Linked DNA regions of Xenopus tropicalis. The protein of the gene in region 1 interacts with the protein of each later gene in a biochemical or structural test. Links are inferred from orthologs where the notes say so. Each region holds a gene or a part of one and is shown in the gene's direction. Other genes may lie near its edges.

Region 1 (10,072 bases):
AAACGGAAGAATAAGTTGAAGTGGAAGAACAGTAGGTTGGGATTTTTAACCCAAAATAATAATATAAATATATCTTGCTCTCTCACAACTGACAGCACTGATAAGATTTATATATATATAAAACAAACACTGATAGCCAGTAGTGGTAACCAGTGCAATGTGTGCACCCAAGTACCAACAGAAGCCTGCAGTGTTCCACACCAGACATGGAAGCAAAGGCTGTCTAACTAGAATGGTGTTACATAGAAAAATAAGTGGCCATCAGACTGGCTTTGCATTTACAAATGCTGGATATATTAAATATAATTTATTTATGGATTACTCTTCTTTTTTTTCTCAAGACTGGCCGCCGTTTATATTACAGGGTCTATTTATAGATGTGTATTGAAAGTATAATTTCCTATTCCCGGTTTTGAAGACCAGCTACCATGGCTCATGCTATTTTGCCTATGATTCATGTCCTCTGCATAAGCTATTGGCTTCCTTTTATAACACGCTACTGTGGCTTATTAATCCCTTAACCACAGCCTACATACTTCTTTTTCAACTCTTTTACACTGAGGGCCCATTTAATAAGAGAAGGCAATGCCATTTTTCACATAATTAAATTGTCATTTAAGAGAATTTGTCAGCCAGACATATATGGGCCACACCATTTTAGCAACAGTGCAATTCTCCATAACCCCACAGCGGGACACCTAGATTATTAGGATCTCTGTATATGGCATGTTGAAGTGTTTAATCCAAGAGCCATTTAACTGAAGTGTTGCCTTTTTTTACCATTACCCGTCTCCTTCTCTTGGGTTTTTCTCTTTATCTTCTCTATCTCCTATTTTGTAGCAGTGTTTGTGACCACGTGTCCTGTATTCTGCAAGGGTCCCGTCACCATTTCCTCCCACTGCAGCAGCAGCAGCAGCTATCTAAGCTGTGTTTCTTTCTTGCCCCCTTATTATGTTTTTGGTATTATATTGTTAACTGTTGTTTAATGAGCTTTAGTAGATCTTTCATAAATATAAACCACTGTGCTAAAACCTACTGTACTTTTTATTTTGGTTTGCTTTATTAGGGCCCTTTGACCTTTATGGGCCATAGTTTGTTATGCTCCCAGGGATACCTGGTGCTACCCTGGGTTGGTGCAGGCTCAGTACCGGGATTTTTCTGACTTTACTGTATTATGCATGTCAACTGTCAACCTAGGGATCCCTGGAAGAATGAAATAAGATGGTAACTGTCATATAAAGGAGTAATTTTAGAGGAGTCCTTTAAGTGCCATGACTATGGACTGAGCATTGTCTTGCTTTGCCTCTGCTTAGCTGAGTAAGTGACCATTTTCATCATATCATATATGCTGTGACTGTAATGTATTTTTTTTTTTCAGACACAACTGGCTTTTAACTGTACTTTTTATTGTCATTCTCTAGAAGGGACAAGTTGTAGCTATGAAGGAAGCCACATAAGGTCCATTTTCATAGCGGATAACTAAAGACTACAGCAGCCCCTCTTGTATACCTTTGGTATAAATAGATTGAGCATTGGGCTATACAAAACCTACTGAGACACCAGCATGACTCAGGGATGCTTTGGCCATCAGGCTAGGTAAACAGCAAGGAACAGCTAATAGCTACCATGGAACACTTGTAACTTTAAGATCCAATGCCTCTTTCAAACAGACTGACAATGCTTCTAACTACTGAAAAGCATTATAATCTCCAGCAGTAGCAAGAGGCAAACCTCCAGTCAGGAATGGCTACCTTCCGTCCAACATATGTACCTACCAGGCCCTCCACAGTGGCAATGGGGAGTTATTTGTGGTTAGGCATTGGGCTAACACTTGACAGCTGGGCTCTGCCCCCTTAGGCAGCAGAATTGCCCAGAATGCACCTGTTATTATTACCAAGTCATATACAGTTATATACATATTAACTTATTGAGTAGCAAAATCACACCCACTTCAGAAAGAGATTTGTCCTGAGAACATGGTGGTTTGTTTTATATTCACTGTAAAATATCACTTTGGTTGCACAGTGGGCTGAGAGTAGACCGGTGCTTGGCATATAGAAACTACTTGCAGAGGTCCTCGGCTTATAGAAACAGTTAACCGTGACCCTTTGTGCAATGTCAACCCCAACATTCCTTTTTAAAACCTTTACTATATTTTTTAAAAATACTATGATTTATTAAAAGCACCCTGATCCCTATGCTTTGCTAGTCCATACACTCTCTGAATGACCAAGTAAGAGAATGCTGTAGCATTTTGAATCACACTCTGTTCCACTTTTGAACTATGAAGAGAGGAAGAAAGGGGGTGGAAGAGGGTGGTGTGAATTAGCAGCTAGAATCTATAAATGTACTTACACATGAAACAACCACAGTTTTTTCCTTCAGCAGCTAAAACTACAGCACAATACAAAGACATCAGCAGCACATTACGTTGATTTCAGATTGACAAATCCCATTATGCAGCAAGATATGAGATACGCACAGCCTTCAGTTTTTTGGACGGATCCATGTAGAACCCCACCATTGCCACCATTGCCACCAAACCAAGTCAATATGCCTCTACCACCCCCATTCCCGGACTTCAGGAGAAAACGACGTAAAGATGGCACTTGTACTTACTTGCTGATCATGTTCCTTCTGATTTTGCTAGCACTTTTTGGTGTTGGTCTTGGCACCTATAAAATCATCGAGTTGCAAAAGGAACTGGACAACGTTAAGGAGGTACATAACATATTAATTTTAGATTTTTTCTTTATTTTAACCTAACCAACCTAAGTAACTTGCCAGTGTTTTATCTGGCAGCATAGAAAAGCTTTATAATGATATTTCTGACCAAGCTAGGGTTGCTCATTGGTGGCCCTTAAACAGTGATCCAATGCAGACAAATTTCTGGTGGTTCCTCTGTATGCACAGAAAGCTGATTGACTCCGCTGTCCCAGTGTCATGGTTATCTGCTGTACTTCATGGCAGGGCTTTCAGTGGAAGGGCATAAATTACTTGAAAAACCTTTGGTTCTCTCCACATCACCATTTAAAAATGATGGTACCCTTAAATTTGTCATAGAAATAATAATGCAGCTTGGTTTTACAATAAGATATTTTTCAATAATATCACTATAATAGTTTAGTGGTCTATAGAATTCCATTAATTCATGAGAATAGGAAAACTGTGATTACTTTTTTTTATATAATTAACAAATCCCTGGGCAAGTACAGGCATGGGACCCATTATCCAGAATGCTTGGGACCTGGGGTTTTCCGGATAAGGGGTCTTTCCGTAATTCGGATCTCCTACCTTAAATTTGCTAACAAAAAAAAAATTAAACTGTAGTTAAACCCACTAGGATTGTTTTGGCTCCAATAAGGATTAATTATATGTTAGTTGGGATCAAGTACAAGGTACTGTTTTATTATTACAGAGAAAAAAAATAATTTTTAAAAATGTGAATTATTTGATTAAAATGGAGTCTATGGGAAATGGCCTTTCCTTAATTCAGAACTTTCTGGATAATGGGTTTCTGGATAAGGGGTCTGATACCTGTACCTATGTACAGAATTTAAAAAACTTTAACTCCACTTCTTCTAAATGGTGCATTGAGGGATTTTAAAAATGTGCTTGTTCTAGAGCTAAAAAATTAGCTGTGTCGTGGATTGGTTTATATGTGGTATATATTAAAGTAACCATGAACTAAGAAAACCAATGCACCACCTTACTCCTGCTACTGTGTTTCTGTCTATCCAATTGCTTTGGAGGTGCACAGGACGAAGACAGGACCAAAGGTGTTTCTTGCTGCAATTAAAAAGCATATTTTTGGAGAGTATCCAATAGGAGGAGCTCCTGCTCCATGAAACTACTTTTTTCCCCAGACACACTGACATTAAAGCAGTTGGAATATCCATCACTGTTTCCTTTGAGCCCAAGCTTCACCCCTTGTCTAGTAATAGAAAAGAAAGCAACTTAGCAGCTGGAAATAAATAGTATAGTAGATAATGATTTCCATAGTTGCAGTTCATATGCAGATTTCATAAAGCTGATAATGATTTTTGGAAATGCAAATAATCTCCACAAACTTTTTCTTTCTAGATTTCTGGTGACCAGGCATTACCTCCTGCTTTGGAAAAATTAATTGGTGAGTTACAATATGTTTCTCTATAAAATAAAAGTGTGGCATATGCTATTTAGCAGAGTTTATATGGGAGTAAGTTCTAGAAGTGTTCTCCTTTAGCTGCTGCATTTGGTGAGCAACACTTGACGGTTACTTTGAGGTTGTGAAGTACTAATTTCTATTTCTTGCCTATGGCCAATGCAGGCAATTCATTTAACCAGTGTTGGAATGCTTGGTGCTACATCTAATAACTGTGAGCCTTCCTGCAACATCAACAACAATTGGCCTTGGTCTACCTAGCATTTCTCTCACTTTGCACTTTGTGCTTAGGTTAGGACCATACTGGAAAATCAATTGAATGTTTGCTCTTTTTACAGGGTTGAACAAACACCCAACTGAGAAAAAAGAAAGTAGACTTGCTGCACATGTAACAGGTAGGTAATCATATGTGTTTTTAATGCATGAAGTATGGATTCTTAACTTACAAACCCTTGGACATAATAACTACACATGGTACCAGCCCAAGACCTCTGAGGGCCTTTCCCAGCTACTTTGCTGGGAACTCTTCAGTTGCATGTTACATCCTAATATGCAGTAGCACTCTTGCCTGTTGAAAAGGTTCTTCTGAAGTGGGAATAGAGGGGTAGGGGAATATGGTACTGGGTTCTTACAGGCTCAGGTACAACACTGTTGCAACATTGTCTACAGTCGCAGGTAGACTGGGCTTAATCTACAACTGTTTAACGGTGTTATTCAACATAAGCTCAAGAAATAAGGCTTGGCCAATTTTACCTTATAAATATATACTTTCTTGGTTCTGTCCAGTAAGGAGTAGGAAGTAAAGGAGTAGGTAGTAAAATAGATTACCAGTCCTCAGTAGAGGAGTAGGTAGTAAAACAGATTACCAGTCTATCTTTGCATAGAAAGATTATACAAACAAAGGCTGCAGATTAGTTATAGCTTCTGCCACACATGGCGGATTCTTGGCCTTCAGATAAACAAGGTTTATAATATTAAAAATAAGGAACATGGATTTTTAAAAAAAAAATAAATTTAAAACTAAACAGAAGTCCTATATATTATACTGATTCCGAGGGAGGATGTATATAGGTGTGTACTGCCCCATTACCATATATATTATTATTATTTTAAAAATACCTTTTCAGGTAAAGAAGGTAAAGAAGGTAAAGAAGGACCCACTTTGCCATTAGCATGGGAAGAAACATTTGGACGCGCTTTTACCTCTGGCATCCAGTACAAAAACAGAGGTCTAGTGGTGAACCAGACTGGCCTGTACTTCCTTTATTCATCTATTTACTTCAGAAGCACTTCCTGCCAGAGTAAAGAATTGTCCCATACTGTCTACAAGAAGTCCAAGAGGTACCCTGGAGAGCTCATACTGATGCAAAATACAGAGTATCAATACTGCACCTCCAATAACAAATGGGGAAGGCACAGTTACCTTGGCTCTCTGTTTAACTTCACCACGGATGAAACAATCTATGTCAATGTCTCTGATGTTAAACTTGTCGGTTTTGATGAATCCAGGACATTCTTCGGGCTTTACAAACTCTGACAATGTTGGAGTGCTCAAAGGAATTATAACTTACCTTAATACAATGGACAGTGTTGAATGTTAAAATTGAAAACAAGCTATATGAATATGACCTGCTCATAATATGTAACTGTTATACAGTGTGATCATTTTCCAGAATTCTGCAACCAACAATGATACCAACTGACATCAGTGTTGTAATACATGTAGATCTCAATGAGAAAGTCAGTTCCATTATTTCTCACTGTAGCATCCCTGACTTTTTAAACACGGTACGTGCTTTGACATAAACATGCAGGGCTTGTTCAAATACAAATGAATATGGCTTTCCAACCAAATTTACCCATCATGAATTATTTTCACTAAAAGTCCTCAAAGTCCACATTGATACAATATTACATATTGCCAACTCATATCCTGGATGCAATTACACTTCACTATACAAAACCTTTTCAAGCACAGAAATGGCCAAATATTATGTTAAAGAACCACTATTTGTATGTTTAATGGCAAACATGCCAATGATCATGCTTGTTGCTTATAGCAGTCCAAAAGTACAGAGGATGACCGGACAGAAAGAGAACTGAAAGCATTAAACACCTTGTACAAGAGAAGAACATGTATTACTCAAAAGGAAACAGAATGTACAGCAGAGATAGGAAAGTGCGGGATTCTGTTTAAAAGAATATGCGCGGCCGCAGAGTTCCTGCCCAACCACTCTCAAGTCATCAAGTCAAGTGAGATGTATGAAATGAGAATATGAGAGCTCCAGTTTGATTTGCTTGTGTTATGTGGGCAATACATTACAATGGAATTAACCAGCCCTAGAAATGATTACGTTGTTCCCAATGTAGCATGGTATCAGTATCAGTCACTGTTGAATTCTAAAGGTTTCTGAAGTAAAGCAGGCTATGTTAACTAAACAGGGCTAGATGTACTGTTTAAATGACACTAACAGGTGTCCCTTATTGTAAATATATAGATATATAATTTACTAGACTATTTATTTAAGATGTACTCCATGTAGTAGCCTGCTATATTATGATGAATATAAAAGTGAAAATACAAATTTAAATTGTGTGCTAATTAGTATGATTGTTCATGTGATACTGTAAACTGATTACTTTACTGGACATCAACATTTTCTGGGTTAAATTAATTCATGTTAATAAAATCTAACTTTGGGGTTAAGAAGAGTTAGTTTGTTCATCAATTTCTAACATTACTGGTGCTTTCAGGTATAGCTTTCCTTATCCAAAATGTATATTTAAACAGCCTGGACACTTTTTTATTTCTATATATTTTTTGTTTATGTTAGTTACAATGAATACACCCACAGATATTTATTAGGTATACTTGGCTATACAAATATCAGTTTTTGGCAAGAATAAACTCCTTATAAAAACAAGCCTTTTCTTTATTACATAGGGGTGAATTAGATGAGCATAGCTTTCTGTGTGTACTTTAAATTTATTATCTATTTAATGTTATATTTATGAGTAGCTAATATCATACTGCTTACCAGTGATGGTTAATAATAAGACTCATGCCTCGTTTCTATAAAAAAATAGGTATAGAATTGCTCCCATTAGCTTGCCATACAAAAAAGGGGGGCATTTACCAAAATTCACATTTTATTTGTTTTAACAAATCATGTTTTTTGCACTAAACCTTGAAACCATGAAAACCGCCATCTAGAAACTATCAACGTCATGTACAAGTCAGTAGGCAGCTGTCCTGTTTCCAATTGGAAGAGCTTCTTTTGCTTTGTGGTATTAGAGGTTTTGGGATTTTTCAGATTTTCCATTATTGAAAAAACATGAAAAATTTGTGGTTTTCATGTGTTTTTTTTGTTTGTGCTTTTTTTTTATAAGGCTGTTTTAATAACTGATTTATTGTTTTAATTGTGGTTTGAAAAAAACACAAAAATTTGAATTTGGACAAATGGCCCTCCCCTATTTATTAAATTGTGCAGTTTTAATTTTGCAGTGATTCATGTAATTTATGGTAAAAAATTGTGACTGGGAAATTTATCTCAGAAAGTTTTAGGTGGAAAAAATGCAATAATTTTACTACCAACTTAGGTAGCAATGCGCAAAAATTGAGTAAATTGTTCTCTAAAATGAAAGCGTAGAGCAAGCAATCATTTTGCTTTCATTTCTGGTTGGTTACTGGTTGTACAACTGATGATTCCAAATATTGTACTGCTAAAAATAAGGACAGAGAAAGACACAATTAAAATGAAACATATGTTTGTGGCCTTTTTTCACATAAAATGGTTAATTCATTGCCCCCCCCCCCCAAAAGACTAAATCACAAACTCTTTGCTGATATTTTGTGTGAAATGCCCTTTTAGTTTGCAGTAAGGATACACTGATTCTAGGATTAGGTTTGGGATGTGGCTAAATCCTAGCACTGTTTGCAGGTGTTCAGTCAACCCAGGACTGAATGTAACAATTCTTGTTTTTAATTGATGACATTTTTAAAAATGTAATGAGATTTGAATATGATAATCAGGGTTCCCATTTATTTATGTATTTGTCTGAATTTCTTTGTGCAGAATATCATCCAAATTTAAAACTGATGGTTTAGATGCATCCTAGCTTTCAGTTTAATACATTCCCACAGTTGCTTAGTTATATAAAACTGCAAGATTTCCAAGATGTTCCAGGTGATTTCATTCCTGCTTTAATCTATGTCTGTGTATGACTTTCCTCTGGTAACACTTGAGCTAATGTCAGATGGAGAGATTTAGTTGTCCGTGTTAGACCTCTGCTACCTCAGGCAACTAATCTCTCCAAAATACTTTCCACCAGCAACAAAGGGAATCAACGGTGAGAGGCCTACGCATCACTTTTTTGACCCTGGTTTTCCAAATTTGCGCAAAGTTGCCTGCGGGAGGGCGTAAACTTACCTACTGGGTTTTAAATCAGATCCTTTGTGAACTAGGGGTGGGTTCCCAGTGGGTAGGTGTGAACAGATCAAGACAGCACAGAATCTAGTAGAATCATGAGCCTGTTAGAAATCCTTCCCCCAGTATATAATATAAGCAATTTGTTAATATAATGTTGGTTTTTACAAAAAAATTGCCATAATGCTGTTCCTGAAACTTTCTAAACTGAAACAAGTGAAGATAAGTGCAGGTGAAACTTAAACTTAAAAAAGACAGGGCTAAAGACAAATGATGGATAGAATCTAAATAACTGAAGAATTATGGATAGAATCTAAATAACTGGTCAGGGCAGGGAACTCTTGCTGAGTAAAAAGTTTACTGCTTGCAGTTTTCAAATATAATCACTGCAAGTAAATCTACGCAAGCATGATAATATATTTATGTCAATTTGACCACTGGAGGCAACTGGAGTACGTGGATTCACAATAAATGGGTGCTACGATGAGAAACAGTATGGCAGCTTCCAATGTTATAACCGCATAAAAAAGAATGCATGAAAAAATAAAGTGTAATTAAATCCTATTTCCCTTTAAAACCCACCTTCTTATTGTATATGTCCCAAACTCCTTGCACCAAAAGCATGTCTGTGGCACATTAGAGCCATGGTCTAAAACATCCCATCATTTTATTTTAAAAATGCTGTGAGGAAATGCTATTTTCCCAAGCTAGAATGTGTAGTGAAGGCTATACAAGGGTCTGAGCAACTTCTAGCATATAGTTGCAGAATAATGTTACTGAAGCACAATTTACGTACCACTGTACCACCTCTGTACCACCATGATTTACTTGCATTAGTGCTTACAGGTCTATATTTTTGCTTTTAGCAGATAGGATGATTAGATAGGAGTTTAATTATTTGTTGAAATGCAACTAATATAATATAATATCAAGCAGAAGTAATTAGGTTAGCTTAATCAATGCTTGTGTTGCAAGTTCAGTCGGTCGTCCCTGCACGCAATGTACTAAGGATGTGGTCATCAGGACCTTTACATTACGCATTCTGAGAGCAAATATAGCATTTCCTTCCTTTGTACAAACCTTTCCATTACTAATAAAATACCTTTATATAATTTCTTCTAAAGACACCAAAAAGTTATGTATTTTATGTAATATGTTATGTAATTTAGTAACAAAGAGCAGTAGAGATATGTTCTCTCTGTCTATTTTAATAGATATTGCTAATATTTAAGGGAGATGCATGTTTACTAGGACAGTGAATATTGTCAAATAGATGTGCAGTATATGCATTAAAATTATACATTTCTAGGGGATTTCCTTCACTCTTTAAATTCTCAAGCCTAATTCTCACTAGTGACAAACTCATTTTTAACCAATTTTATAACCAAGTTTATAAGCTGATACAGGATCCCTGAATGGCAACGACGAGGCTCGAGGAAGTTACGCTTTGCATTGTTTATTTTTTTATAACAGGGAAAAACATGTCATTGCGTTCCTCCCG
Region 2 (11,213 bases), on another chromosome or scaffold:
TAAGAATTTTTCAAAAACATCTAGAACCAGGACACACAATATAATGCAGGAGGGAGGAAGGCTAAAAGTCTTTCAGCAGATGGGGGTAGGGACTATTTCAGTAAAGGAATTCAGTTGGTTCTTATCTGTGTAATTTTAGCATATGAAGAGTAATTAATGGTAAAGTTATTACTTTGGCTGTCTCATATCCGATTTTATGGGGTTTAAGTACAAGATCCTTATTTATTCCCTTAATTTTAACAGTATTCATTTAAACAGTAATATGTCTGTCTACATTGGTGATTATGCTGGATATTAAAATCCGTTCTACAGGAACTGGAACATTATCTCTTTGCTGAAGCCCAAACAATTGAATTCCTCAAACATCTGTTTGAGACTCTTGAGTTCATATCAGGACTCTGTGTTCATTGCTAACTTGAAACCAACCTGTCTGCTGGAGGGACAGACTTTATTGTTCATTTTGCAGGCAAAAAAGCAAGGGGCATTTTCTGTAGAGAAAATCTTTAGTTTTTTTTTTTTAATCCTTGGTGCCTGCAAGGCCTGTGCCATGGCCCAAGGCTCAAGGTGATACTCTAACATGCAAATGTCAGTGGATAAAAGTGCACCATTATTTAAATATTGGCAAAACCAAAAGGCTCATTACAGGACTGTCTTTAAAATAAGGAAATGTTACTGTGTATTTAGGCAAATATGCCCAAATATAAATGTATGATCCCCTGCTCAGATTGTTTTTTTTAAATAAAAGAACATTACAGCTTTTTGTTATATAAAACAGTCCTTCCTTGCACATATGTACTGTGCACGTGAGGGGCTGTTCTGTTTTCCTCCCATTTTCTGTAAATTGTAGCAGATTAGTACCTATGACCACAACTTGTGCTGATCCCTAAGAGTGTATTGCCAATACTGGCTTAGGCTAGGGGGCACATTTACTAATCCACGAACGTCCAAAAAGCGCCCGAATGCGGTTTTTTCGTAATGATCGGTATTTTGCGATTTTTTTCGTAAATTGTCGCGACTTTTTCGTAGCCATTACGACTTGCTTGTAAATTGTCGCGACTTTTTCGTAGCCATTACGACTTGCTTGTAAATTGTCACGACTTTTTCGTAGCCATTACTACTTGCTCGTAAATTGTAGCGACTTTTTCGTAGCCGTTGTGCCGAGTACGAAAGTTTCGGATTCATTCAAGCTTCAGTATCGTGACTTTTCTTGGGCCAGTTTGGAGCTGCAGAGTGCCATTGAGTCCTATGGGAGGCTTCCAAAATCATGCAAAGTCGCAAAGGTTTGCCCGCCGTTTACGAGCGCTCAATACAAAAAAGTCGCGACAATATACAAGCAAGTCGTAATGGCTATGAAAAAGTCGCGACAATTTACTAAAAATCGCAAAATGTTCGTTTCCAATCCGATTTTTTCCCATTCGGGATTTGGATTTGTGGATTAGTAAATCAGCCCCTAAGAGTATAGCTTTCCCAGCGCAACCATCAGAGAACAAATGAGACTGTTCTCTTGTGGCCTCCTGCTCCTACAAACGAAAGGCAAAATCCAGCCAATGGCAATTACAAAAGGCATACTGGGCTGGTCATGGGGTGGGGCTTCCATCTGGTAGTTGTTTAGGACCCCAAGATTTTTGGTGGAAACTCCTGATCAGCTCTCACTTATGTATGAATATAAAATAGAGGAGCAAAGTTCTGACTGCTAAGTTAGTTTTCCTTCAGTAACCAAACTCCATTGGAACAATGTGACTACAGCCATATTTGTTTTTGGAGTAAGGATATAATTGAGTAATTACTAAATTCAGTATTAATTTAGAATTTGCCATTGCTTAAAAAAATACTAGACATAATCTGCACAGTGCTTCCTTAAAAGTGAGTGTATTTCTAGGAATGAGGATGCAATTGGTTTTGTCTCCAGCACCTTCCTCAAAACATGGGTAACATCTTTATTGTTGAGAGGACAAAATACTTGGCTTTGAGAACTTTAAGCATATCTTTCACTCTTTTCTTTCTGCTTAACCCTGCAAGTGCTGTCTGCCACCTTAATAAAATGTCATATTGCTTCTGTTGTTGATATTATAGATCAGCGACATTATTTTAAAATTACAAATCCAAGAATGATTAATAGTCAATAGAGGCACCTTTCTTATTGTGCTAATTCGTGATCCCAACCAACCAGGCAGAACAATTGTCTTATCACAGACAGAAGCAAAAATTCAACAGATCATTCAATTGTATCTGACATATCTCTAATGCAAAACCACTGAGCCTTACAGGATGCTAAAGGGTTCCTCTCCACCCTTTTGTGAAATTGGCTCCGACTTTAAATATGCTCAGTTCTGCTTGTATGTGCTTTATCTTTTCTTTAGTGATGCTTAATCTTGCTTCATGTTTTCGTTTCAATTTTTTCCTGTCTTTTCTGCCTTCTTCTTTCAACTCTCATCAGAGAGAGCTGCAGGTCTTTGTTGCCGCTTGGTAGTACCATGTCATAAAGGAATGCCAAGACTTACAGACCTGTCTGTCAAAACCAAAGATGTTTGGGAAATACCAAGAGAATCACTCCAGTTGATCAAGAGACTGGGGAATGGGCAGTTTGGGGAAGTATGGATGGGTACGCAGTGAATATATTTTTATAAATCTAATAACCTGCTCTTGTGTGGAGCAATATGAGGAAAGATGGAAAGTGGGTGCAAACAAGAAGCAGGAAGTTTGTGATGTAGGTATTAATCCATGAAAACCACAATCCCCTTTCTTTAGCCTCCAGTGTGACCTGTTGAGGACTTTACTATGGCCAGAATATTAGAAGTTTTAAAAATATATAAAAACTGAGTTGTCTACTATAATGTGGCGTTGATAAATACTTTACACCAATCACCTTCCATCTTTCTTATTGCATGCTGTGGTTTGACATAAATGTATTTTGTTTTTTTATTAATTCCTTTTCCTATAGAGAAAGCTGATGGTTTGTGTTTTAATTTAACTCTGATTGCACCGAATTATACTCCACAAACTGTTGGACTGGCTAAGGATGCATGGGAGGTTGCACGGAATACAATATCTTTGGAGCAGAAGCTTGGTCAGGGCTGTTTCGCTGAAGTGTGGTTTGGTAAGGTGGACAATATTTCATGCTTAGGAGAAAACATTCTACTTTTTAAACAATATTATCTCTAAAAAAGTCACTTAGCATCAATGGCAAAGAGAAATTGTGCCAGAGATTATTAATCTCCAGGTTTCCACATAGGCTACAGTAGAGAATTTATGAAATTATTAAGTATAAAACATAGGGGCAGATTTATCAAAATGTGAGTTTAGAGCTTAATACATACAAACTCACCCACATTCTATTAATTCCTATGGGATTTTTAGATACTTATTCATCAATGGGTGAAAGTTAGAACCCACCGTTTGATAAATACATTTCTACAAATCCCATAGGAATGAACTGAACATGGGTGAGTTTTTATGTATTAAGCTCTAAACTCGCATTTTGATAAATCTGCCACATAAGGTGTTTATTATATTGACAATGGTGCATTATTAAATGGTAAGGTTATAGAAAACCATTAGTCCATCAAGTTTGGCATATCTTTTCATATATTTATATAATGGAGAGGTGTCTGTCTATATAACCATCTGTCATTATCTATGACACAAAGTTAGCAGTGAATTTCATTGATTCCAATCTGCTGTCTGGTTATCTAGCTAGCCATGGCAACCCAACAGTAGAACAGAAAACTGTGAATATAAAATAACAAAAATTAAAAATTAAGGCTACTTAAAAGCTGGCTTAGAATAATACTGTGTGCATCATATTAAAAGTTAATTTTAGGGTGAACAGACCCTTTCAGTATGTGTGTTTCATAAATTCCGTTAAATTTAACTGCAGACTGACAAATGGAAGGTGTCACTATAAATAACAGAAATCCATGCCTGAAACTAGGGGTACAGAGAATGTACATACTACATACATACATACATACATATAAGCATATATACACACTTCAGCAGAATTTGTTGGTGGTCAGATCCAAAAAGCTATGGATTCAGTGCATCCCTAAATAAAACCTAGCCACGGTTTCTGTATTCCTCTGTGATTGTGACCTTTACCATTGTGATTGTAGCATGTAATTACAATCCAAAACCAATTATCCTATTAACACTTTATTTCCACACTAACTTTCCTTTCTGAATGTAGTTTTAAATTTGCATTAACATTGGAAATAGGTGAGATTTTAGTGTGAGAATATTGTTTTTTTCTTTTCTTGGTGGGTGGGCTTTTTATTGCATGCAGCTTGCTTTTAAAGTGCATGAGTATTTGTGATTGCATGCCAAGCTCTGTGTGGGAAAGGAGGGGTCCATGCCAATGGTTATGAATTCATACCAGCAGGCCTTTAAAGTGGCAATAAATATCAAATAATTGGAAACACAGCTATCATTAAGTTTATTTTATTTAGTATATGCATCCTGTGGCATTGCTACAAAGGTAACAGGAGCTGCCTGTTAAAGGGCAAATATACCCCCACACAATTTCTTTATAGATTTTGCATAGCACTGGAGAATTGCCACCCTAGAGCCAATGGCATGGGTCCCTTCTTCCGTTCCTTCTAAATGCTAGCTGATGCTAATGTGCATATTCTTGGGTATGTTGTGTTGCAGGTACATGGAATGGAAACACAAAGGTGGCGATAAAGACACTGAAGCCAGGCACCATGTCTCCAGAATCTTTCTTAGAAGAAGCACAGATCATGAAGAAACTGAAGCATGATAAGCTTGTGCAGCTCTATGCTGTAGTGTCTGAGGAGCCCATTTATATTGTCACCGAGTACATGAGCAAAGGTCAGGATTCTAAAAGTCTCTTCTTAGATATAATACTTATTAATTAGTAAATTATGATCATATGATGTCAGACTGACATTACTGAAACACACAGATTGTATTGAACACATAATACCCATGACACCCCAGTTATTTCAACTGAACAAATACTTCCACTAAGCCTGCTTTATCTGTATCTTTAATGTTGTATGGTTAGAGATGACAATTTCTCCAGAGACCCAAATTTAAAGATAAGATGTAGAAGCAAAGTGAAATAACTGCCTCTTTAAAGCCCCCAGGAAGCCCCTGACATGCATAGGGGTATTAATGTGGGTTTCATTGCTCTCTTTGTGACGGGGAAGATGCATATCATCTACAAGTGCAGATGCATGCCTTGCAATATCTGGAAGTGCTTGACTAGCAGAAGTCTTCACTGTGCATGGCCTTCCTTTAGTGTAAATAGCCATTACACTGCATTACAGAAGTGTATATTTTCTGGTTGCTGCTGTTGGAATAGGCTCTCTTCTGCTAGTATTTACAAGACACATTCTGGTTCATGTAATGGATGGAACTATATAATAAGCGTTTAGGAGTAAGACCCACAGTGATGTATTTTTCTTCTGCATGCCAAGTGAGCCCTGCTCCTACAGCAGACACCTCAGGCACGTACGGTAAAGGGTTCTTTACCTGAGCATTTGGTGCGGAAGAGTAGTATGGGTAGTGTCACTTCATACCTGAACAGGATGCAGCAGATATCAGCTGCCTATCTGCACTAAAGGATGAGATTTTTGCTTGACAATATTATACCTTAAAGGAAAACTATACCCCAAAACAATGTAGATCTGTATAAAAATATACTTCTTAAAAAGATCATATATAAAACCCTGCTTCATCTAAATAAACATTTTCATAAAAATATACTTTTTAACCCCCCTTCCCTCCCCCCAACCCCCTATGCGACCCCAACTTTACTCTTTCTATCTTCCCCCCACATGTTTTATATGTAACCTACCTTGTTGTAAAACAAAAATTAAAAATAAAGTTTTAAAAAATAAATAAAAATATATATACTTTTTTAGTAGTATGTGCTGTTGGGTTATCCTAAATAGAAAATTGCCATTTTAAGAATGAAGGGCCGCCTCCTGGGATCATAGGATTCACAGTGCACACAAACAAGCCAAGGCACACTTACATGCTAGGCCCCATCAGCCAATTAATGGACAGAGTTCTGCCTTTTGCCTCCACACTTCCTCCTGTTACAGTGAGAGCTGCATTATTTCCGGTCATGTGATCTCTGAGGGAGCACACAGCCCATCACTAAATGGTGGATCAAGGGAAAGCATGTAAAAGGGCAATATTTACTGATATATATACATATATAGATATATACACAAGCCTTGGGGCTCCCCAAAGACAAATTCAGCTGTTGTTAGGGATATTCTTATATATCCTATTAATACATCTGGAATTTCTAATTTAAAAAAGTAATAAAGTTGGTTAATTTGAATATTGTTCTAATGCAGGTAGTTTACTAGATTTCCTAAAGGATGGAGAAGGAAGAGCCTTGAAGTTGCCAAATTTAGTAGACATGGCTGCCCAGGTACAGTAAAGTTTCATTATTAATTAAGGTCATCATTACTCAAACTGCAGTCTAAGCTTCATTAATCAACTCCATATTATTGAATTTATTTTTATTATTGCCTTTTTTTACTTACTGTTGCAAATTTATTTACTAATGTTTTCTATTTTTACTGACAGGTTGCTGCTGGCATGGCTTATATTGAGAGAATGAATTATATACACAGAGATTTGAGATCTGCAAATATTTTGGTTGGAAATGGCCTTATTTGCAAAATTGCTGATTTTGGCCTTGCTAGATTGATTGAAGACAATGAGTACACTGCAAGGCAAGGTATGAAAGCCATGATGATGTGCTTTTAAAGAATGGTAACAGGAACTTGGAAAGCAGTATGTAGATTCATTATCAATATGTATTACATATAAAAGCAATCGTACATAGAGTGATTTCAGGCACTTTGGTGCTGCCAGTAGCTTAGTCGTTGGCATATAATCATCCCCCCCCCCCAGTGCTTGTGTAAACAATTGTCAGGTAGCTGTCTCTTGTAAAATTGTCAATCTGCAAGATGCAAGACATTGCCCAAGCTTAATTGGCTTCCTTTAAAAACACACAAATAACACTTCCATGTTTTTTGAATGTAGTGGGAAGCTGTTGTAGCTTTCTATAATACATTACATCCTCCTATTATGGAGGAACTCAAAGATAAGGCTTGTCATAACTAGTAAGGTCATTTCTATACTGTACATCAGACCTACAGTCCAAACCAAGCACCATTCCTGCAGTCCACATTTTGGTTCCTGCCTGCACCATTGCTGTTTGGTTTCTGAATCGGGGCTGTTTAAAGGAGAAGGAAAGGCTAATAAAGTGTTAATTTCAAGCTGCAGGCATACTTTCAGTTCTCTCAATAGTGCCCTTAAGTCTCCCCATATTTTGCCTATTCAGCCTCATAGGAAAAAAGAACCCTGAGCTTTGTAAAAAAATTCCCATATTGCCACGCTCCTGCACCAAGACCATGACCTCTGTACATGCGTAGTTTGTAAGACTATGAGGAAGCTTCCTGCTGATTGGCTCAGATCCACATTCCTAAGGGCGGGGGGGGGGGGTTGTTAGCATTCTTATGGGAGAGAGGAGAGAGCTGTGCAGACTCTGGCACAGAAAAAAGTAGACAAGAAATCGTGTATTTCTTTTGATAGACAACTCAGTGCATTAAGTGCTATTTACATAGACCATTCTGATAAAGCTTACTTAGTTATTACCTTTTCTTCTCCTTTAAAGGAACAGTAACACCAAAAAATGAAAGTGTATAAAAGTAATTACAATATTATGTACTGTTGCCCTGCATTGCTACAGCTGGTGTGTTTGCCTCAGAAAGACTACTATAGTATATATAAGTAAGCTGCTGTGTAGCCATGGGGGCAGCCATTCAAGCTGGAAAAAAGGAGAAAAGGCACAGGTTACATAGCAGATAACTAGTAGATAAGCCCCATATAATGGGGGTTTATCTGTTATCTGCTAAGTAACCTGTGCCTTTTCTCCTTTGAATGGCTGCCCCCATGGCTACACAGCAGCTTACTTATATAAACTATAGTAGTCTTTCTGAGGCAAACACACCAGTTGTAGCAATGCAGGGCAACAGTACATAATATTGTAATTACTTTTATACACTTTCATTTTTTGGTGTTACTGTTCCTTTAAGGCTCTGGGCAAAGATCTTGTTGAATAGCAAAAAAATTGACCATGCCTACTTTGTGGCCACAACTTTAAAAACTATACCTATTTCACCAAAACATATCCCAGAAATGGATAATGAGCATATTAACCCCATCTGTTCCAGTTTAATCACTGTGTAGAAATGACCAATGAGCACTCCACACACGCCAGCAAGATCAGTAGATACAGTGCAAGCATTACATGCACTTGCTCAAGCAGAATACCAATAGCAAAGTTTTCTTCTTTTCTTGTGCTCCCACGCTGCTTGGCTTTCTCTCTCTGCCTGGCTTAAACACTTGTGAAAAAACCCAAGATGGCCATGCATTCCACAGTGCAATGAATTTCCTGAAGAGCAGGGAAGAACATTAACGCTGGGTGAGGAAGGCAGCAGCATAGGGGGGTAAAGCTGAGAAGGAGGGAAAAAAAGACATAGTGGCAAAAATATAACAGCTGCAAAAACATAAACATTCCAGCTGTTTAAAATCTCATCATATTTCATACAGTCGACATATTCTATATGGGTCACAGCACTAGCTTGTAAACTAGGGCAATGTATAAGAAAATAAATTGATTTTACATATAAAAGCTCTGGCTGCCAAAATTATGCCGAACTACAGTTGCCAAAATCCTCCGGTTACAGCTATTGATGTGTTCCTGGGGGCCTGTACCAGATCCCTGCTGTAAAGGGATATTTAAAATAGAAACCAGAGAGAGTTAGTGATGCTTCAAGTTCAGAATCCCTGTTGTATTGATATTTTCCTTGGATCAGCAGGTTCCCGAGAGCATAATTAAATGGCAAACAATTGCAGCTTTAGGGTGATACATTAAATGCATTTTTCTACATGCCTTTAGCATTAGGATGCTTTTATTGCTGATAAATAGGCCCCATGGTATGAAAGTGGTTAGGTGTGGTGTATTGCTTGATAAATATGTCTATAATCAATGCCTCAGCTCAGTTTGGGAGGTCCCAAGCATGAATATATACAGTGAGGAATGTAAGTATTTGAACACCCTGCGATTTTGCAAGTTCTCCCACTTGGAAATCATGGAAGGGTCTGAAATTCACATTGTAGGTGCATTCCCACTGTGAGAGACCGCATTTAAAAAAAAATTCAGCAAATCACATTGTATGATTTTTAAAGAATGTATTTGTATTGCACTGGTGCACATAAGTATTTGAACACCTGAGAAAATCAGTGTTAATATTTGGTACAGAAGCCTTTGTTTGCAATTACAGAGGCCAAACATTTCCTGTAGTTCTTGACCAGGTTTGCAGACACTGCAACAGGGATTTTGGCCCACTCCTCCACACAGATCTCCTCTAGATCTGTCAGGTTTCAGGGCTGTCGCTGAGCAACATGGAGTTTCAGCTCCCTCCACAGATTTTCTATGGATTTAGGTCTGGAGACTGGCTAGGCCACTCCAGAACCTTGATATGCCTCTTACGGTTATCCTGGCTGTGTGCTTCAGGTCATTGTCATGTTGGAAGACCCAGCCAGGACCCATCTTCAATGAGGGAGGGAAGGAGGTTGTTGCTCAAAATCTCACAATACATGGCCCCATTCATCCTCTCCTTAATACTGTGCAGTCGTCCTGTCCCCTTCACAGAAAAGCACCCCCAAAGCATGTTTTTACCACCCCCATGCTTCAGACCTACTGTGCAATGCATGATTTAAAAACCATGACGGCGTAGTGTTCTACTGACAGTGACCTTTAAACTGTGGTCCCAGCTCTCTTCCCAGCTCCTCCCTTGTAGTTCTAAGCTGATTCCACACCTTTCTTATCATCAGTGATACCCCACAAGGTGAGATCTTGCATGGAGCCCCAGTCCTAGGGAGACTGACAGTAGTCTTTTGCCTCTTCCATTTTCTAACAATTGCTCCAACAGTTGATCTATTTTCACCAAGCTGCTTGGCAATTGCCCTGTAGCCCTTTCCAGCCTTGTGGAGGTCCACAATTTTGTCTCTGGTGTCTTTTGACAGCTCTTTGGTCTAGTGGTATTAGTTGGAGTCTGACTGTGGGGTGGACAGGTGTCTTTAAAGAGCAGGTGCTACTAATTTAGATTAATGAGTGGAGTAGAGGTGGACTTTTTAAAGGCAGAGTAACAGGTCTTTGAGAGCCAGAATTCTTGCTGATTGCCAGGTGTTCAAATACTTATGTGCAGCAGTGCAATACAAATACATTCTTTAAAAATCATACAAGTGGTTTCTTGAATTTTTTTTTAAATGCTGTCTCTCACAGTGAGAATGCACCTACAATGTGAATTTCAGACCCCTCCATGATTTCCAAGTGGGAGAACTTGCAAAATCGCAGGGTGTTCAAATACGTATGTTCCTCACTGTATGTGTGACTAGGCAGAGAAAAAATGAGCTAATGTGCTTCAGTATGCTAGCTGCTAGTAATGCTATTGCAGATTTAAAAAAATAAATTTAATATAAGCTCTGGGTATATGCAGGTTATATTGTCTATTTGTAATAGGAATCTTTAAGATTAGTTCAAAGTCACAGAGCTCCTTTTTACATCCCTGTGAGGCATGAGGGGATGTTCTTAAAATTACATTTCTTGATAGATATAGCTCCACAGACTTATTAGATTGTAGCAAGGTCATATGGTATTCTTATGCCCTATGTTATTTCACATCACAGCCCATTAATATCCTTCACTAACAGGCCTGGACAGACAATCTGTGGGTTCTGGCAAATGTATGTATGTATGTATAACTCTATTTATAAAGCGCCACAAGGTTATGCAGAGCTATACAATCTTACAATATACAAAATTACATACAGGGAAGACAAGTATTATAATAAATACAATAAATAAATAAGTATAAATACACAGGGAGTAAGTGCCATGTAGTATGAGACACAGTAGGGAGGAGGTCCCTGCCCCGTAGAGCTTACAATCTAAGTGGTTGGGTAACATACAGGCACAAACTGGAAGGTAAGAGTGCACTAAGTATGGACATTTGCCATTAAGCGCAGGACTAGGCAAAATAATGTTTAAGTGCTCCAGAAGGTAACAGCTGAGCTTTATCTTAAAGAGAGTGGGTGAGTGTTCCCTACAGAGGGATTTAGGGATAGAGTTCTAGAGGTAAGGAGCAGCGAGATAGAAAGGT
Region 3 (11,213 bases), on another chromosome or scaffold:
GAGAGCTAATTGCAAACTAATGCTTTCAGTCTGTAATTAATATGGCTACCTTGTATTTTAGGATTTTATAACAACAGCACAAAGGTAGCAGTGAAAACTTTAAAGCCGGGGACCATGTCTGTACAAGCATTTATGGAAGAGGCCAACCTCATGAAGTCCCTTCAGCATGACAAACTTGTAAGGCTATATGCTGTGGTATCCAAAGAGGAACCTATTTACATTATCACAGAATTTATGGCAAAGGGTAAGTCTTCACTGCTGCTATAGTTTTGTATGCAGATATACAAAAATTCAGATGATCTGGTCACTTGTTTAAAAGCAAACATTTAATTAGTTGCTGTGAGTTTCTAGAGCTGGTGCAAACATTACAACTTCTATTGCTTTGCCTTCTTGGGTTAATGTAATAAAAGTGTCAGCCAAGTCTAAGGCTGATGCCACAGAGGCGTAGGGCTGATATTTTCGGCAAGCGGAAAAACGCTTGGTAAAAATTCAGCCCTACGCCTGCTACTTGTGCCTGCACCCGAATGAATGGGATACGCTCAGGTGCAGGCACATGTAGCTGATATACGCATGAAAACGCGAGAGAATGCGAAGTCTTGCGTTTTCATGCGTATATCGGCTACATGTGCCTGCACCCGAGCGTATTCCATTCATTCGGGTGCAGGCACAAGTAGCACGCGTAGGGTTGAATTTTCGCCAAGCGTTTTTCCACTTGCCGAAAATATCAGCCCTGCGCCTCGTGTGGCATCAGCCTAAAACCCAAAGCAACCAATCAGCAAGTAGCATTTACCATTATTCACCTGTTTGAGAGCTAATATCTGCCTTGGATCACTAGAGCTGGTACAGACATCGCAACTTTTATTACATTACCTACCCCCTCTGAGTCTAGCTATGTGTTAACACAGGCAGGTAACACAACAAGGGTGCTTTCAGCAATCTAGCCCCTATATGTATGAAAAAGCATTAAGGTGCAGTAACCCATAGTAACCAATAAGATGTTTGATTTTAAACAGGTGGCCAGTAAATGTTAAATTCTATGGGTTATTGGACCTGTGCAAAATTGCTTGTCTTTTATTACATAAAACTATAAATGCGCGAGACCTACAACTGCTAATTGTAAATTGGTTGTTTTTGAGTTAATGGACTGCGGACACTGATGTTTCTCTTATTCCTTTAAAATAATATGCCCAGATAATGGACCCTTACAAGACTATAGTTAGTTGTCAAAGCAATTTGCAGCTCTTTTCTCACCTTTTTTATGGAAACACAGTGCAAGTGAAATATGCCCCCTCTTTAGAAGCAAACTGAAGTCATTATGATTTGGGACCTAATGCTTTAACAGTCTTGTGAATTTTTGTTAACAGGGAGTCTTCTAGATTTTCTGAAGAGCGACGAAGGGGCCAAAGTAATCCTTCCTAAATTAATTGACTTCTCTGCTCAGGTAAATCCTGTTTTCAGAAATTTGGGGTGGGGGGGGGAGGGAGTCATGAGTAACCAGCAGCATGAGGGGTGGGCTGGCTGCACGTTGGGCCTTGGGCACCAGTAGGACTTGCCCCAGCACTGGAAATACAAGTACTCCATGTATTAGAGCTTTTGGAAATTAAATGGCCTACTTTCTGATATTCTGTTTATAAGTTTGTTGTATGCCTCAGTAGAGGTGGTGGGTCTTTGTAATGACAATTATTTGATGTTTGCGGTTTCTGGAGGGCATTGTGGGAAAGACAAATTAGTTTATACTAAACATGGCATCCACTCTTCTCCAATATCCTCAACTGAAACCAAAAGTCAAACCTACCCATATGGAAATACTGGTGGGAGTTATAAACTTCTTTGTGACCCCAGAATGACTGTTAGTTAGATCCTTGGATCACTTTCTACTCATTATTTAATATTGGTAAAAACACATCCAAGCCATTATTGAACCTTTTATCACTATGTTTCTTGGCATGGTATTTCTTCCCTTGGCTGCTTATACAGTACAAAAACACCTTTCCATCATTTAATCAATATTCTCTACCTCCTAGCTAGGAAATCTTTGTTAAGACATTATTTTGGCCTTGAATATATTTGTGGGTGTTGAATATATCCAATTTAAATCATGTATTTCCTAGAATAAAAACATCAGTTCATAAAGGCTTTTCTTTAAGGCTGAATTAATGAGGTTGCCCTTCACCATGTTATTTTTCATAATGTGGTGGTCGGAAACTCTGTACATAAGACCTGCAGTGAGCAGGCATTAAAGGAAAACTATACCCCCAGAATGAATATGTAACCAACAGATAGTTTATATTATGTTAAGTGGCTATTAAAGAATTTCACCAAACTGGAATATATATATCAGTAAATATTGCCCTTTTACCTTTTTTCCCTTAATACACCATTTAGTGATGGGCTGTGTGCTCCCTCAGAGATCACCTGACAGGAAGTAACTGTAACAGGAAGTAGTGTGAAAGCAAAAGTCAGAACTCTGTTCATTAATTGGCTGATGTGACCTAGCATGTATGTGTGCCTTGGCTTGTTTGTGGGCACTGTGAATCCTATGATCCCGGGGGAGGGGGCGGCCCTTAATTCTTAAAATGTCAGTTTTCTATTTAGGAGAAACCATTAACACATACTACTAAAAAGGTATATTTTTATGAAAATGGTTTATTTAGATGAAGCGGGGTTTTACATATGAGTGTGTTTATGCAATATATTTTTATAGAGACCTACATTGTTTGGGGGTATAGTTTTCTTTTAAGTATAAGGGCCCAGAGCACCTATGTCCTTTTAATGTTATATCACATGGAAGGGGCTTGTAAAAGAACACATAGGTCCATCCCATGTGCTGCTCCTTTACTATGCAACACTTGAATGAATTTAGAATGTATTGTGTGCTTCATTTTCATAAGAATATGTTTTAAAGGGAATAGGTTTTCAAGGGATCATGGAGACACACCACAGGCTGCATGGAGAACTGTTTTGGGCTTTAGCCCATCTGTATGCTGCACTCTAGGGGGTATATTTATCATGCTGTGTAAAAAGCATTACCGGTGATGTTGCCTCATTTTAAAAGGAGTAGGTTTCAGTGTATTAGAGGGATCATAGGGTCACACCCCAGGCAGCATGGGGACCTATTTTTGGTGCTAGCCCGTAGCATGCCTAATGTTAAAGTTAAGACTATAGAGTAACTTGAAATTTAACAGTAAGTAATTTAACATTTGTGTACATTTTGAGTTGAGAATTCTGTGAAATGTACCACTGATGTTTTTTTTCAATTGAATTCCCATTGTCAGCTATAGGGAGCAGCAAGGGTCATTTGGGGTGTTTAAATACAGCTTTTTTAAGGAAAATGCTTTGAGACCAATGACCAAAAAAAAGCTGCATGTGTGATCCTTGCCCAACTCACCTGCAGCTTGCTCTTGGGTTCAACAGTAACCCTAAGGAAGGCTATTTTTAGATGACCTTTCATGACTACGTGTGTTCATATACAGTATATGTAATATACATAACCATCAACTAAAACAAAAAAGCTGTTGACACAAACAACTATAATCTGCATTACATGAACTGCTTCCAATCTTTTGCCAATAATTTAAGTAAAATCCTTAGAAAAAAAATAGTTTGTATTCACTGCCAGTGAGTAATTGTACAGTGTATGCTCTCGTGAAGAGTGCTATTGTTTTGGGTTATCACCAACTGTTTATACATAATGGAACAAGGTGCGCACACAATGGGCTCACTGTTGCCTTTACTTACTGTAAATAGGAAATAAGGGAAAGAGAGCAACACAAATGCAAACATAACGTTCATATGTAGAAACAAAGGCCAACATTTAGCAATGACAAGTATTTTACAATGAAGAATTAAATATTTGAACATATATATTCTGTTGTAGAATGTCTTCTGTTTGTTGTTTGGTAATGCATTCTTGGCATTTAACCTAATTGCACTAAATTACATGATGTTTTAAAACATAAAAGTGAAATGCTCAGCACCACATGTCAGTAAACTCACCAAATAGACCAAAATCCTGCATCTTTACTAGGGCACATGACTTTAATTAAATTGTATAGTCTAGTGCTGCCCAACTTCTGTGGTACCAAGGGATTGAATTTATTTTGGCCTACATGGTGGAGGACCGGTAATGGAGGCCAGGTTTCTTGTTTTTTTTTTTAACCACACCTTCGTCAAACCACATCCATGTTATCACAAGAGCTTTTAAGACTATAGCCAAATTAAAGGTGGTAACACACATAAATACACCCAAATAATTGCAGGGATATCCCACAGGCAGCACAGTATAGGGCAGGCAGAATATGGCACACGCAGGCAGAGTATGGCACACACAGGCAGCATAGGGCAGGTAGAGTATGGCACACACAGGAAGCATAGAGCAGGCAGAGTATGGCACACACAGGCAGCATAGGGCAGGCAGAGTATGGCACACACAGGCAGCATAGGGCAGGTAGAGTATGGCACACACAGGAAGCATAGGGCAGGCAGAGTATGGCACACACAGGCATCATAGGGCAGGCAGAGTATGGCACACATAGGCAGCATAGGGCAGGCAGAGTATGGCACACACAGGCAGCATAGGGCAGGCAGAGTATGGCACACATAGGCAGCATAGGGCAGGCAGAGTATGGCAAACACAGGCATCATAGGGCAGGCAGAGTATGGCACACACAGGCATCATAGGGCAGGCAGAGTATGGTACACACAGGCATCATAGGGCAGGCAGAGTATGGTACACACAGGCAGCATAGGGCAAGCAGAATATGACACAGGCATGCTTGAGAAGGAGACAGGGAGACCTATCAAGACTATGCACTTTACAGGTGTGAACAATACAGTGGGTGTGAACAGTGAAGGAATTTACAGCCTTAATCTAAGGTGTGAACAATGCAGGAAGGCAGTTAATACTGATACCATTTAAACATACACAAAGGTAAGCAGTCACAGCAGCCAGACAGATGGGGGGGGGGGCACAAAAGGGGGGGCTACAATAGTCCATTACTGACCAAACTGCATGATGGTCTGTGCACATGTAGCCTCCTCTTAAAGCAATGAATTTGGCCCAGGAACCTTTAGGTTTACTATATACTGTATTTGTTATATGTACATGAAGAAGGACCAGAACTTCAAACATATTATTCATCAGGATTTATTGCATAATATAGTTTTAATGTTTTACTGTAATTATTAAATGAGTTCCATATCCACATATGAAAATGGCTACTCCTAGCAGCTAAATGGACAGACCAGGTTATCTACAAACTTTCAGCCAGATTTGACAGTACAGGCAGCCACCAGATCAAATGGCAGAGGCCCAGTAAGCATTTGGCATCAGTGGGTTTTCCCTCATGAATTTTCCAGCATGTTCGGTAGGACCTCCTTGGTTCTGCATATGTATACATGGGCAGCTGTTGGCCACTATAGTCAAAGGATGACTAAAGACAAAAGATGGCTAACAATATCTGCCGTGTGTAGAGCTTCAGAGTTCAGAGTTATTCTTTGTGGGCTGAACATGATGGACGCCTTTCAGGTTAAGCAGAATAAGATACTTTGTGCATCTGAGAAAGAAGCAGTGAAGGGGTATATCTGAAAATAAGCAGATGACAAGTTAGGGAGAGGAAGCATATGTTAGACTGAATAATACTAGAAAATATATAGTAGGTCAGAGTTTTAATTGGTTAACTAAGCTTTTGGGGCTACTTAGGCCCCTGCTTCAGGTACGGTAGTCACACCTGCCATTGTTTTCCAAGTTGATTATCAGTGCCTTGAGTTTTGTTATATCTGCTCCTGGGTGCCCCACACACACCATCAGCTCAGAGTGAATAACCTATTACATCAATCTATAAATAAATAAATCCTTATACGGGTATGGGACCTATTATCCAGAATGCTTGGGACCTGAGGTTTTCCGGATAAGGGATCTTTCCGTAATTTAGATCTCCATACCTTAAGTCAGATAAAAATTATTTAAATATTGAATAAACACATTAGGATTGTTTTGCCTCCAATAAGAATTAATTATATCTTAGCTGGAATCAAGTACAAGGTACAGGTATTGGATCCCTTATCTGGAAACCCATTATGCAGAAAGTTCTGAATTACGGGCAGTTCATCTTCGATAGACTCCATTACAAGCAAATAATCCTATTTTTTCTTTTTAAAATTTCCTTTTTGTCTGTAATAATAAAACAGAACCTTTTATTTGATCCCAACTAAAATATAATTCATCCTTATTGGAGGAAAAAACCTATTGGGTTTAATTAATGTTAAAATGATTTTTTGGTAGACGTTAGGCATTGTGATCCAAATTATGGGAAGACCGCATATCTGGAAAACCCCAGGTCCTGAGCATTCTGGATAACAGGTCCCATACCTGTATTTATTGCTGTTCAAGGGCTATGGCTCATGGGGCGTTTCACCAAGCAAAAAACATAGGTAGCACTCCCACTGTCTTATGGGGGTACCCCTGTCTCCATATATGTATGTATTATTTAGTAGAAGAGTAAATTATCTTGGACTTAAATGGTTTTTTGCTGTTAATTCACTGGGAATGTAGATAATCAGTGAGCAACAGGATTTTGGTTTTACTGGGGAGCTTGTTTGTATAATGGGTTTAACTGAAATATACATTTTAGCTATGGTTTCCTCTTCACTGCACACATTCTGGTGTCATATTCAACCTGTTTTTCCAGCTATCTGTACAACAGTGGTATTAGCCACGGCTCAGATTTCCTCGTTTTACATTGTATTGAAACCTTTAAAGAGATTTGCACATTGTCATGGCAGCCAGATTAACACCTTCTTACAAATATTGTACATTTAGTTTTACGAATCATGCACAAGAACTTTTCATTTCAGTTTAGCAGATGCTAAAGTATTAAGTGCTATTCTGATACCTACCGGGAGCTGCTATCTTGCTCCCTTCCCATTGTTCTGCTGATCGGCTGCTGGGAGGGGGGTGATATCGCTCCATCTTGCAACTCAGCAGTAAAGTGTGAATGAAGTTTATCAGAGCACAGGTCACATGGCTGTGGCACCCTGGGAAATGAAGAATATGGCTAGCACCATGTGACATTTCAAAATTAAACATAGCAAAAACAGTTTGCACTTTAAATTCAGGATTCTGCTAGAGAAGCTCTATTAACTGATGTGTTTTGAAAAAAAACATGTTTTCCCATGACAGTGTTCCTTTAAATTCCAAAAGATTAATGGCTTCTATGACTGGCTCCTATAGGTACTCTTAACCACCTAATAATCTCTCCCACAGATTGCTGAAGGCATGGCTTATATAGAAAAAAAGAACTACATCCACCGAGATCTGAGAGCCGCTAATGTGCTTGTTTCAGAATCCTTAATGTGCAAAATTGCTGACTTTGGTCTTGCCCGAGTAATTGAAGATAATGAGTACACTGCAAGGGAAGGTATGTGCTCTGCTTTTAATGTGCTGTAAAACAGACAAATGGTAAGATCTGTTCCAGCAATCGAGGGCTCTGTTTTATTACCCTAACAAATTGCTTCCATTATTTACAATAAGATAGTGCCAGGTTGCTAACAGATACTAAGGATGCCTATAATATTAAACTGTGACTCCCTAAAAAAGTGATTGCCTGGCTCACAATATTTATAACTGTTGTAAATAGGAAGCATAGTGATCTGCAAAATCATGTGATACTCAGCTGTGTGGCAATAAAAGGGGTAAAGAGTCTCAGTTCATGGCATTAAATGTGTGTGGTAAAATACCCTTGTGCACATACGGTGGTGCTTGAATGTTTGTGAACCCTTTCATATTTTATATTATGTGACCTAAAACATCATTTTATTTTCAAACAAATCCTAAAACTAAATAAAGAAAACCTAGTGAAACAAATTAAACAAAAATTATTATGCCTTTTCTTTCATTTGATCAACTAGGTTTATTTCATCTCATATTATGACTTTGAAAATCGGATGATGTTTTAGGTCACATTCATATAAAAATATAGAACATTTGAAAGGGTTCACAAACTTTCGATAAGTGCATTATATATATATATATATTGGAGGGTAGGCACTCACGTATAAGTAGAATACTTCGCCTGGGTGCAGTGTGGAAATATGTATAATCACCATCTGAAAAATCTCACACTCCTCAAGACTTAATAATATCCACAGCAAATTTTATTGAGGGAAACTGACGTTTCGGTCCCACTAGCGGTCCTCACTAACGAGTGAAAGTATATATCATATATATGAACAGAGAGGAGCACACACTTCACAAAACCTGGGTGCAGGTAAAACATAAAATATAAAGAAAGGTACTGCACACACAGGGACTTTTTATGTGGTGGGGGGGTATTTAATGTGGCTGTTGGGACATAGTCTGTTGGTTTGTCCCTGAGGAAGAGCACAGACCATGCTTGAAATGTTGGATTTTTTTCAATGAACACTTTTTTTCTTTGCATTAAGTCCCTGTGTGTGCAGTACCCTTTCTTGATATATATATAATGCAGATGCAGACTGACATCTCATGGCAGCACAGAAACCAGGGGATTCTGCTAAGACATACAGTATATAACCTGCTAATGCTTTAAAGATTTCCAACAACACAAAAGTTGAGATTCTCAGCAGCAGCCCAGATCTTACTGAGTGCTTTAGTTCACTTATAAGTAAATAGTTTCCATGCAAACTTTATTCATATCAGTGCTCAGGCTCTGTTTGTCAGTCCGTGCCTTTATTAGGGGTGGGGAGGCTAATGGAGTTGCTCTTGTGTGACAGCTATTGCAGAGAAACAATAAGAAAACTCCCTTTCACCTTCCCTAGAACTCCAGGAAGGAATATGCCCTGTAAGAGTGAATAGAACATGAAACTGTCTCTCACTCACTCTTGGGCTCATTTCTAAGGGAAACCACACCTTGGCACCTTTACAAGGCCGATGCGGCTAAGGTAGTGCTCTGCAGTTCTGTCATATAAAGCTGTTGGAGGCCCCCCTATATTGACTACTGGAAAATCCAGAATGACTATACTATTACATTGCTTACATGTACCCTATTCAGTTGGGCGGTTAACGCTTACAAAGCATTACAGGGTGCCATAGAATGAATAATTCAGTTTGTCTGTTAGCTGAACAAACACAGCTCTTTGTGTAAATCAAAGTCAGTAAGGCCATGTTGGCTAACTTACTGTTTATAAAGGGTGAAGTCACCAACATGGAGCAGAATAAAGGGCAACTACTTACAAACCGTTAAAAAAACAAGGCAAATTATAGTGAAATGTAACCCACCTGTGCTGTTAGATAATTGGAAACATCCTGTTTATTGTCCATCTAAATGCACAATATAAGCCAACAGTATGTCCCTTACACTATAGCAGCTTTAGATTTAAAATGTGCTCTACCTGTTATTTAGATCTCATGTCTCTATATCACCCATGCTGTTATTACTGATCGTGACCATCACCTCTTTTTTTTTTTCTAAGGTGCTAAGTTCCCTATCAAATGGACTGCGCCAGAGGCAATTAATTTCGGTTCATTTACAATAAAATCTGATGTGTGGTCTTTTGGCGTTCTGTTGTATGAAATAATAACCACTGGAAAGATCCCTTATCCAGGTAAAGGAAACTCTTTTTTTAATATATTTGTCGATTTCGAGGAGGGACGGTTCATGCCAGCCCCACTGAAGATTTTTTTGTGGAGGGGCCAAACACTTTCAAGGTATGCTACTGGCCATACCAAACAAAGGTTGGTATTTAAGAAGTTGTGAAGAGGCAACATACAGAGATAATTTAGTAAGGATGTTAGTTGAGCTGTGTGCAAAGCAAAGCACCTAATGGTTTTCTTCTGGCTCTGCAGGAATGAGCAATTCAGATGTGATGACCGCCCTGCAGCGAGGCTACCGTATGCCCCGCATGGAAAACTGTCCCGTAGAACTGTATGACATCATGAAAGAGTGCTGGAAGGAGAAGGCAGAGGAACGGCCAACATTTGATTATTTACAAAGCGTTCTGGATGATTTCTACACAGCAACAGAGGCACAATATCAACAGCAGCCTTAGAGCAGGACACACATTTCCTTGTTATTGTACAGGGAAACAGACTGAACTGGTTATTGCGTTCCTTTTTGTCTCTTACAGCCTGGAAAGTCTGAACATGTTGAAAAGATGGAATAACACATTCCCGTCCCCTTCACATCATGGCCCACTTACTGTGTAGCTTCTCTGTGTATGTTCCTTATGCAGTGCTGGTGCCGAAATCCCAAGCGCTCGGAAATAAACAGGCATCACAGAGCACCATATTGTACATGTGTGGAGTTTGTCCTACACAGCTGCTTCTTTACATCATTCCCACAGGGCTGACGGAATCTGCCCATGCCAGTTTGTATAGTGCCATGGCACATTCTTGCTTATACCAGAAATCTCACACCCCCAAATGCCGTGCAATTTTGGTTCACCATAGTAGATGAATGCAAACGGTAGTATTTATTAAACTCTGTGTCACATGAAGCTGTTTAACAAAACTGTAGGGAGTGAAAGGTTGGATTGCAGAGACGCTGTTTAGTATTTTTGAACATTTTACTTAATGTTCATTCACAGAAAAAAATAGCTTTACAGATTTTCATCATATTTATATGTAGCCACTGATTTAGAGTAAGGTTGTGTGAAAAATCTGTTATAAATGTTATGACAAGCATGTAAAACCTGCAGACCTCCAGCTGCTGTGGACTATAACTGCTGTTATTGGAAAGCTGTGGACTAGCAGAGACTCATGGGAATCATAGGCCACAACACCTGAAGAGCTGCGAGTTGGACATTCTCTGTAAAGAAGGGGCCAAACTCTATTGTTTGTTCATCATGGACGGGTCATTAACATTATACCTTGTTACCAAAATGTGTTCATTGACAACAGTTCTGTGATTCTTTAGCATAATAATGGTTTTATCCAACTCAGACTGAGACGGTAAGCGAAAGTGAAAAAAAAAGAATGTGAGATATTTGTACTATGATCTTAGGGCTAAACTCAATGGGAGCTTTTGTCAGATGGAGTTGGATTGACAGAACGCATCTTACAAGTCGGATGTAGTTGCATGGATCAAAATATAATGGAACTGATACAAAAATCTGATGTGTAAACTACATGAAAGGATTATGATCTGACACGTAAGAAGGGAACGCTGATGGTGTCTGACACACTTTTTCATTGAAAACAAATCAATGAAGAAGCGGAGCACTGGATAACTTATATA

The links.
Region 2: the proteins of faslg (region 1) and fyn form a complex in vitro, tested with the Homo sapiens proteins (4 studies listed by BioGRID and IntAct, with this or other methods). The link is inferred for Xenopus tropicalis from reciprocal best matches to the Homo sapiens genes FASLG and FYN.
Region 3: the proteins of faslg (region 1) and lyn form a complex in vitro, tested with the Homo sapiens proteins (2 studies listed by BioGRID, with this or other methods). The link is inferred for Xenopus tropicalis from reciprocal best matches to the Homo sapiens genes FASLG and LYN.

The regions. Positions count from the first base shown.
Region 1 is NC_030680.2:107,201,192-107,211,263, reverse strand, and holds faslg (tumor necrosis factor ligand superfamily member 6), read left to right. Parts: upstream 1-2,393; 5' UTR 2,394-2,457; coding exon 2,458-2,721; intron 2,722-4,083; coding exon 4,084-4,129; intron 4,130-4,482; coding exon 4,483-4,539; intron 4,540-5,271; coding exon 5,272-5,681; 3' UTR 5,682-7,052; downstream 7,053-10,072. UniProt on the Homo sapiens protein: Cytokine that binds to TNFRSF6/FAS, a receptor that transduces the apoptotic signal into cells. Involved in cytotoxic T-cell-mediated apoptosis, natural killer cell-mediated apoptosis and in T-cell development.
Region 2 is NC_030681.2:76,822,831-76,834,043, forward strand, and holds part of fyn (tyrosine-protein kinase Fyn), read left to right. Parts: intron 1-2,437; coding exon 2,438-2,602; intron 2,603-2,941; coding exon of another isoform or gene 2,942-3,097; intron 3,098-4,647; coding exon 4,648-4,827; intron 4,828-6,329; coding exon 6,330-6,406; intron 6,407-6,564; coding exon 6,565-6,718; intron 6,719-11,213. UniProt on the Homo sapiens protein: Non-receptor tyrosine-protein kinase that plays a role in many biological processes including regulation of cell growth and survival, cell adhesion, integrin-mediated signaling, cytoskeletal remodeling, cell motility, immune response and axon guidance.
Region 3 is NC_030682.2:115,674,041-115,685,253, forward strand, and holds the end of lyn (tyrosine-protein kinase Lyn), read left to right. Parts: intron 1-61; coding exon 62-244; intron 245-1,364; coding exon 1,365-1,441; intron 1,442-5,130; exon of another isoform or gene 5,131-5,583; intron 5,584-6,897; exon of another isoform or gene 6,898-6,937; intron 6,938-7,264; coding exon 7,265-7,418; intron 7,419-9,450; coding exon 9,451-9,582; intron 9,583-9,823; coding exon 9,824-10,026; 3' UTR 10,027-11,164; downstream 11,165-11,213. UniProt on the Homo sapiens protein: Non-receptor tyrosine-protein kinase that transmits signals from cell surface receptors and plays an important role in the regulation of innate and adaptive immune responses, hematopoiesis, responses to growth factors and cytokines, integrin signaling, but also responses to DNA damage and genotoxic agents.